Linked DNA regions of Xenopus tropicalis. The protein of the gene in region 2 purifies or fractionates together with the protein of the main gene of each other region. This does not show direct contact. Links are inferred from orthologs where the notes say so. Each region holds a gene or a part of one and is shown on either strand. Other genes may lie near its edges.

Region 1 (4,349 bases), on a different chromosome or scaffold from region 2:
TACTGCCTGTAATAAGAAAACAGTACCTTGTACTTGCATGGTAACTAAATTAGTAAAATCCATGTTGGTAGCAGATTATTTTTTTCCTTTTAACAAATTTAAAAAAGGTACTGAGATCAGTATCATGGGAAGACTTCTTATCCGGAAAACCCCAGGTCTGAAGTCTTCCAGATAACTGATCCCAAACCTGTACAGGTATGGGATCTGTTATCAGGAAACCCCTTATCCAGGAAGTTCCGACTCCCACTGACTCCATTATAAGCCTATAATTCTAATATTTTTTTTAAATGTCCTTTTTCTCTGTAATAACAGAACAGTTACTTGAACTTGATTCCAACTAAGATAAAATTAATCCTTATTGGTAGCAAAACAAGCTTATTGAGGTTAATTTTTAAATAATCTTTTAGTAGACTTAAGCTATGGAGATCCAAATTACAGAAAGATCCCTTATCCATAAAATCTCAGGTCCCTAGCATTCTGGATAATAGGTCGCATACCTGTACCTGTGTTTTTTTTTTTTTTTAATAGAAATTTATATTTATTATTGATATTCCTTTTCTAGGCCATCTCTAATGAGTTACAACTAAAATATTGCACCTTCTTTATTTACCTGTACCAGACTTCAACTTCTTTTTTAGAAATGGCTGCTGTTTTGAAGATGTTGGGCTTTGGGTGTGGTACTGACCCGACAAGGCTGGAAGTACTGTTTAAATCAACCTTGACTAGACAAGTGCCACAGGTAAGTAAAGGGGGTAGGGGGATGCCAGGCTTCAGTGTTAAAGCTTTAGGTTATGGAAGGAACCTTTTTCACCAACAAATTCCTGTGAAAACCTGTAAAGTCTCTGTATAAATTATATTTGCTGAACATGCCCAATAAAACATTACCTATCTGAAAAAGACTATGTAACTTCAACCTGTACCGCACTTCATGACAACAGTGCACCTTATATCAGTATGACACAACAACACACCTTGACAGCATACCGAGAAGCTGAAAACACAGTTATCAGATCTCAGCAGTGTGCTGTTATCAGTGCAGAATAACTGGGCCATTCCAAAACATACAATAACAGTCATTTGTAGGACAGCAGCAATTTTCCTGTAAACACTGCACTGTGCTAGTCTATAATTACAAAAAGAAAAACAGCAGCATAGTGAACAATGAACAAAAAATCTCATTACATGAATTACGTCCTTGCTATATCCACTTTTAATTAGAGGCTCTCACATGGAGTGCACATTTACCACTTCTCATTAAAAATACTGAATATAATTAAGATACTATCATCTCAAAAAAACCTTTTTAAAAAAAAATACCATGTCAGTCCAAGCCTGCTTGAATCACAGTACAATGAATGTTCTGTTATAAAGATAACTAGATTCTCAGCTATAAAGCAAGACAGGACTGACTGCTGCCTTCTTAGACTAAGGACATTAATCATGTGATTTCACTTTCAAATGGAAGCGGAAACATAGGATTTTTAACAAGTAAAAATGTAAGGTATTTTCCCCCCAAATTCCTTTACTTTACTAAACCTAACATGACCAACAGGCAAAGTGTAATTTTGTTAAAGATGCCCCTTTAAGATGGTTAAGGAATGGGTATGTTTGGATAGTAAATGTCTTATGTCTAGTCCAAATAGAGGGAGTGACAAATTGCTCTTATGACGTATTTACTACTATTCCATGGCATCCTTTAATTAAGAGCTGAACACTTGTTTAAGAATGAAACTACACATAGACTTGAAGAACAGAGGCCAGTAGTACCAAGACTCCATATTTATTTATTTACTTACTTCTGGGGGTATGTAATGATTGGCAGAAGTCAATACTGTGAATCTAATACATAATGATATACAAGAAAATACATATTTCCTGCCAAGTCTCATTCATTCAACATGATAAATCACACATTATGAACTCCTATCCTGCTGTCATGCTGGGAGGAAGGAAATATTACAATTTCATGGCCCCTGCCTGACCTGGTGAATCCTGCTTGTGCCCACGCCCAAAATTTTCTCTGAGCTTGCAAAGCAGTGATCAGGCAGTTAGGGGGGAACAAAAAACCCCCATGGAGTAAGGCAGGAATGTAACCCACTCAACACAAATTCAGTAAGCGAGGGTAAAACTGCTCAGCCTGATTTCACTGGTTGCTGAACTACATTTCTACAAATGCTGCCTTTAGGATAATATTGTAATGTGTAGTTTAACCACAGCAAGAGCCCAACCAGGTGACAAGCCTAACAGTAGTAACTTCTTGGTAACAGTAACCCAATCAGGAATCTCCAGTAGGAAATGACTTCCCACTGCACTTAGCTCCCTTCCTGCCTGTCACCCCTGCTTCTCTGTGCCCCTCTGCCAATGAACATGCCAGCTGATAGCTGCTGTACTGTACACCCACCCACCAACCAACACAAGGAAACATTAGTTGATTTTTGTCATTTGCCAACTGTCCAGTCTCCATATATGCAATGCTATATAAATAATTTTCTCTATTTCCAGCTGTGTCAGTATAGCCGCCCTTCCTGTACATCAGTGGGTGTGTAGCACCTGGGAATTACACATAATACAAGGGGCCCATATAACATGTTAATCTCTGTTGTCCAAAAGTTCCCATTGCCAATGGCTAACAATTCGTCCTTCAAATCTCCACCAGTACCCCCATCTATATACTGCGGGTGTGTGCAGCTCGCTGCGATCACGGATATATATACAGGAATAGGACCGGTGCTCTGTAGAAAAACTGGGGATACTGACTGTTATTTGTGATCCTCTGCACATTGCCGCTGCAGGTCTGAATAATGCTGTTGAAGTCCCGGGCACGGCTCTGCTGCTTCATGTACCCAGACATGTTGCTCCTCTTAGGGCCCCGTCCTCCTTTCTGAGTATAAGAGATGGTGGGATGAAGCGACTCTAAGGAAGTCGTGATGTCATAGCCATGTGACCGTGATGTCACGTAGGAATTGTCAGGCTCCTATCAGCGATAAGCGCCTCCCAGTCATGATACCACGTGACAGCTTGGAAAAGATGCTGTTGTTGCCACTCCTTTAAAGAGAACAAGGAATGCAAATGTAGAATTCTGCTGGTTTATAAAAATCAGCAAGTGCGCCTTTGGAGGATGGGGTACTTAATATCCCAGGTCCTGGAGCAATTGCTGGGTCTAATTATTTTTTTTTCCCTACACCCCTAGTACTTGGATTTAATGGAGGGAGATGAGAAATATGCTGGGTGCACATGGGGGACAAGTATTGTGATCTTTAGTAAAATGTTGTTTACCTGTACAACAGGTAAGCAGTTGAAGCATAGTGTGTGATATGTATGTTCAAGGCTGCTGTTAAAGGGCAAGGTGATATATACAGGAATTATATATGAGTGATGTGTAGGCTGGGACTGGCAATCTATGGGTTCTGGCAAATGCCAGAGGAGCTGCTGTAAGATGTTATAGACAGTTAATATTTATTGGGCTGGTAGAGGGCTGTTTGGACCTCTTGTGTACTTGAAATGCCAGGGCCTATTTTGACTCCCAGTCTGGACATGGCGATGTGTAATATCTGTTGGACTTCTTGGGAACTCTGAATGCTGAGGGAGGGCAGTTTGGTAAGTCCATCAGTGCCAGTGGATAGCAGCGTTTTATGTATGGATGTTTCTGGGGGTTGCTAGATAAGAACTGTGATTGGTTATTTGGTAGCCCCTATGAGGACTGGCAGCATACAGGAGGCTCTGTTTGGCAGTACACCTGGTTTTTATGCAACTAAAAATTGCCTTCAAGCCAAAAATTAAAAAACAAGCACCTGCTTTAAGACCCCCTGGAGAGACATCTAGGGTTAGCGAGCACTATGTTGCTCACAAGCCACTGGTTAGGGATTACTGTTCTTACAGAGGCAAGTGATGAGTATTGTGCCACGCAAAAATCTTTGCGTCACTGCATTTTGAATCATCTTTAAGAAAGTATTGTGTGTGTGGGAGGTAGAAATACGGTAGTTTGAATTAGCAGAGGTGCGCCAGGAATTTTTAAAAAAAGACCCCTTAACTGCTCTCCTCTTTCCCATCCCATTATCATCCTCTCTTTCAGAGCCACCGTCAGGGGGAGAGGGGTACTGTTGTGCAGTGCTCGGTGAAATAATCTTCTGATGGTGGGCCTGGCAGTGTTGCCAAAGTTATTAAAATTGTTTATTACGTATGAAGTTCCGTCAAAGCGTACACAATTTGTGTAACTTCCGTAAAAACTGCCTAGAAACTTACTTACCTTGTGTATCAAGGTAAAGACAAGGCAAAGAAACTTGGCAGAGGCCAACTCCACTGACCACCAATGAATTAAAAAACTCAAGGTAAATTCCACTGCCCCCTTC
Region 2 (4,329 bases):
AAACAGGATGTGTGATAACTGCAACTGCCTCTTCTCAGCTTCTATTTACATAAATCTCCCATTTTAATATCTTTGTTATGACACTCGGGTTCCCATGGGGCTGCTGCCTTGCTGTTATAGTTTGCCTAATAAATAACATTCTTTTGCATACCTGCCAGTCCACGAACCTTTGCTCCCATTCTCTCTCTGGTGTTCTTTTGCCCCCCAGGCCATTAAACTCTTTCCTCTCCCCACTGAAATAGGCGGGCATAGATTTGTTTAACTATATTTTATTGTGCTTTTTGTGAAGGAAGGATTATTTCCATCTTCGAGGCATAGACAGGGTCTCGGTGCCGCTCTTGGGTTACAAAGAATCAGTGCTCTGCAAGTCTCTATGCAGATAAACAGAAAGGACTGTAACACAACCGTCAGCAAAATAAAAACGACTGTAATCCAACACTCTTTGCAAATAAAAAACAATGGGGTACAACCCTGCAGGTAAGTACAGGTAGACAAGCTACAAGGAGCTATGATCTTTAGGGGAAGCTTTGCAGTAAAGTCCATCACCCTACAAGAGTTTATGGTAAGTGGTGCACACCCAGGCCTGGATTGGGATTCAAAGTAGGCCGAGGCATTTCAAGTACACAGAGGCCCAAAAAGCCCCCCCCCCCCCCCAGCCCAATAAATAGTGACTGTCTATGGCATCTTACAGCAGCCCCATCTGGCATTCGCCAAAATCCACAGATTGCCAGTCTGGGCCTGTGCACACCCTTCCTTTAATCTAATGCACTCCACTGGCATTATTAGGGGTCTCATTGTTTGGCAGTGTGAACAACACAATAATGACAATGAGGATGATCACAATTACAATTACAATTCCTCCAGCAATGATGTACCAGCGCCACTTCTGCCACCGGGTATGGCGTTCCACTGTCTGGGCCGTTTTCTGGAAGTTGCAGGCCTAAGTGCAAAAAAAAAAGTTGCTACTTTAAATATTTCTATAATATTCAGATATATTATATCCTTGTCATCCACAGTCTGGTCATTTTCTAGTGAAATTCAGAAAGCAGACATGCACGCTGCTGTGTGTTGATCTTGCATGTTAAATAAGGTAGGTGGGAATATGAAAGGTCTGCAACATGCACACTCCCGTTGTACCAACGTTATAAAGTTCTTTCCTTCCCACTCCCACCTACTCAATGTTTTCCTTTTTTCCTTGCATGGAGCGTCTGTCTCCCCCCACTCTTGCAGTTTCTCAAGGGGGTATGACTGGCCTGCTGCCAAAGGAATGTACTACATTGCTCAATCAAAACTAATCATACCAGTTCCCGGGCACACCAAATGGGTCTCCAATAGAAGAGCCTTGCACTCAGGCCCGGACTGACAATCTGTGGATTCAGGCAAATGCCAGAGGGGCTGCTGTAAGATTCCATAGACAGTCACTATTTATTGGGCTGGGGGGGGGCTGTTTGGGTCTCTGTGTACTTGAAACGTCAGGGTCTATTTGGAACCCCAGTCCAGACCTGCTTGCACTGGCCAAATCAGAATAGGCTTTTTAACTGAAATGAACCTGACAGATGAACTATATCCACATCAGGAAATGAAAGGAACACAGTTTTGGGGCCACAGAGTTACGCCTGGGAACTGAAGGCAGAACAAGACACTATGGGCCTGTTTCCCTAGTTGCATGGCAGTCCTAGACAGTGACAAGACAGTAACCTTAGCTATTATAAATATACATAATACATTTGGTTTCCTTCAAATTGTGTATCTATTACATGAGTTGTTTAACATGAGATTTTTTGTTTATTTTCCACCTGCAAGCAAAGCACTCCTGCTGCGAGTTGGCTCCCACCTGTGCTTTCATGGCTGCTTTGCACTGCTCTGAAGCAAGCAGGTAATGGCTGGGCATCAGAGAACTGTAATTCCAAATGTTATGCCCATCTGCCCAGCTATGTTGATGTTAGGGGAGCAAAACACTAACAGTGGGGTGGGTGGCAGCAAGCTCAGTTCTGTATGAATAATGACAGGGGTGTGGAAGGCGCTCAGCATACAAAGGGAGGGAAACTGGATACAAAACGTGAAGCAAGGGAATGAAAAGTGTGCCACAGCAGGCTGCACACAGGAAAGAGAAGTGTGTATGCCCACTGCATGTACGTACGGCCTGTCCCATGACATACCATGTTAAGCAAATCATTGGATCGATCCTCTAGGTCAGAGATCTTCCCTTCTCTCTCAATGACCGTGTCAACATTCTTTTTCATCAAGACTTTCACCTCCTCTGCGTTGCGCTGACATAATTCCAGGTTGTTGCTCGCCTGGGGTTGGAAAAACAGAGAGTGCTGTGAGGGTTCTAAGGAAGTCCATGATAATAGAACTATATCACACATGAGCACTGGCCTTTTGGGAGTAAAGGGAAACTGTACAATGCAGGTTTCTGTAAAAATATATCACATAAAACAGCCAATGTGTAATCCAATGTTTCATATAAAGAAAGGCTTTGCATGAAAAATATACTTTTCTAGTATTATGTACTATGGAATAATCCCATTTTACCAACTAAAGTCCTCCTTCTGGCTCATATAAGGAACTGTGCTCCCACACAAACACAGGCACACATACACCGCTAGGTTGTCAATGGACAGCAAACACACTACTTCCTGTTATGGTAGAACCTACATTATTTCCTGTCAGGTGGTCAGTGGGAGATGCCATTAAATGGCTGAGTATTGTGACGGTAAAGTTTTCCTTTTCCAAACACAGATGTTGTTGTAATGGCCCTTCCAGGAAAGAATAGCATTGTCTCATCATCCACTCCTACGGGATCGATGGTAAAATACGGTATTTTCCAAGAAGGCCCATAATGCCGATTGAAGGATTCTGTATAAATATTAAAGTGTGCATAGCAGGCAACTTGATGGCTGTTAAAGGAGACATATAGGATACACGGAAAAAACCTCTAATTTTGTAGGCAATAATGAATAATATAAGGTGCTTTTTTCACTTTAGGCTAAACATTAATCCTCTCTGTAAAAATGGCCCCTTTATTGGAGCTCCCTATAGATCCTATCAGTTCTCTGTCCATGTTTCAAATGAAGGGTGGGCGTGTCCTAACAGCCCCTGCCAGAAGCACAGCAGGAGGGGGAGAGCCAATCACAGCCCTGCACTCACGCAAGCAAAGAAAGGCTTCAGTTCCCTATCAGGTCAGCCTAGCTGCTGATTGGTTCCTATCCTACAATGCAGTGTACTGAGAGCCGCCGGCTCCCCAGCTCACCCAGAGAATTCAGCCAGCAGGAAGTGGCACAGATGGGCGGGACTAGTGGGGTTTTGGGGGAATTTCTCAATAAATCAGTCAGAAACACAACTTTTTTAAGCACAATCCTTCTATATCTAGGAGTATAATTCACTGGTACATTCATCATTTTTATACAATAAAAGCAGTAGTTTACCTTAAGGTTAACTTTTAGTATGTTATAGAATGGCCAGTTATTTCAAACTTTTCAAATGGTCTTCAAATTTAATATTTTTTATAGTTTTTGAATTATTTGCTTTCTTCCTCTGACTCTTTCCAGCTTTTAAATGCAACAATTGTTATTTTTTATTACTTATCTTTCTAAGTCCTCATATTTCTATTTCATATGTTTCATATTCCTGTTCCACTTCATATTCCTGTCTCTTATTCATACCACTGCCTAGTTCAGGGGTGGGCAAACTTTTTGGCTCACGGGCCATATTTACTTACCCCCGGGCCAGGGCGGGCAGGGCCAGGCCAGCGTTACGCCCCCTTAGTCTGTTTAATTCCGGCCCGCCAATGACACCAAGTCTCGCATGATGAGACTTGGCATCGTCGACGGGCCGGATTAAAAAGGCCACGGGGCCGGATGTGGCCCGCGGGCCGTAGTTTGCCCACCCCTGGCCTAGTTGCTAGGGTAATTTGGACCCTAACAACCAGATAGCTGCTGAAAATCCAAACTAAAGAGCAGCTGAATAAAAAGCTTGATAATTTACAAGCTGCATATAATAAAAAAAAGAAAAATGCACCATTAAATCTACACTGATTTTTAGATCACAAACCCATACCTCCCAACATCTGGAAATAAAAAAACCGAGACATAGTTAACCGCCACGCTAATTTTTGACTATTCCCACCTTTAGCCACAGTAATTATAAGATTGCTCCAATTTCTTCTCCCATTGAGACCCAGGTGACTGGTTGGCTAATAATTAGAGCCCTCTAGAGGGGTGAGCCCTGTTAACTTACTCATTTAGGGCCCCATACCCTTCAATGGTGGCCTGTGCCTAATAAGGATGGATTGTGCTGCAGGGCTATAACAGTTGCTGAACCCTTGTC

Evidence for each region.
Region 1: the proteins of vesicle-associated membrane protein 5-like (region 2) and stx12 purify together in Homo sapiens (affinity purification with mass spectrometry; 3 studies listed by BioGRID and IntAct, with this or other methods). This does not show direct contact. The link is inferred for Xenopus tropicalis from reciprocal best matches to the Homo sapiens genes VAMP5 and STX12.

Annotation. Positions count from the first base shown.
Region 1 is NC_030678.2:83,638,982-83,643,330, forward strand, and holds the start of stx12 (syntaxin-12), read right to left. Parts: upstream 2,873-4,349; 5' UTR 2,852-2,872; coding exon 2,758-2,851; intron 1-2,757. UniProt on the Homo sapiens protein: SNARE promoting fusion of transport vesicles with target membranes. Together with SNARE STX6, promotes movement of vesicles from endosomes to the cell membrane, and may therefore function in the endocytic recycling pathway.
Region 2 is NC_030679.2:125,676,229-125,680,557, reverse strand, and holds vesicle-associated membrane protein 5-like, read right to left. Parts: upstream 2,942-4,329; 5' UTR 2,791-2,941; coding exon 2,659-2,790; intron 2,298-2,658; coding exon 2,160-2,297; intron 941-2,159; coding exon 761-940; 3' UTR 250-760; downstream 1-249. UniProt on the Homo sapiens protein: May participate in trafficking events that are associated with myogenesis, such as myoblast fusion and/or GLUT4 trafficking.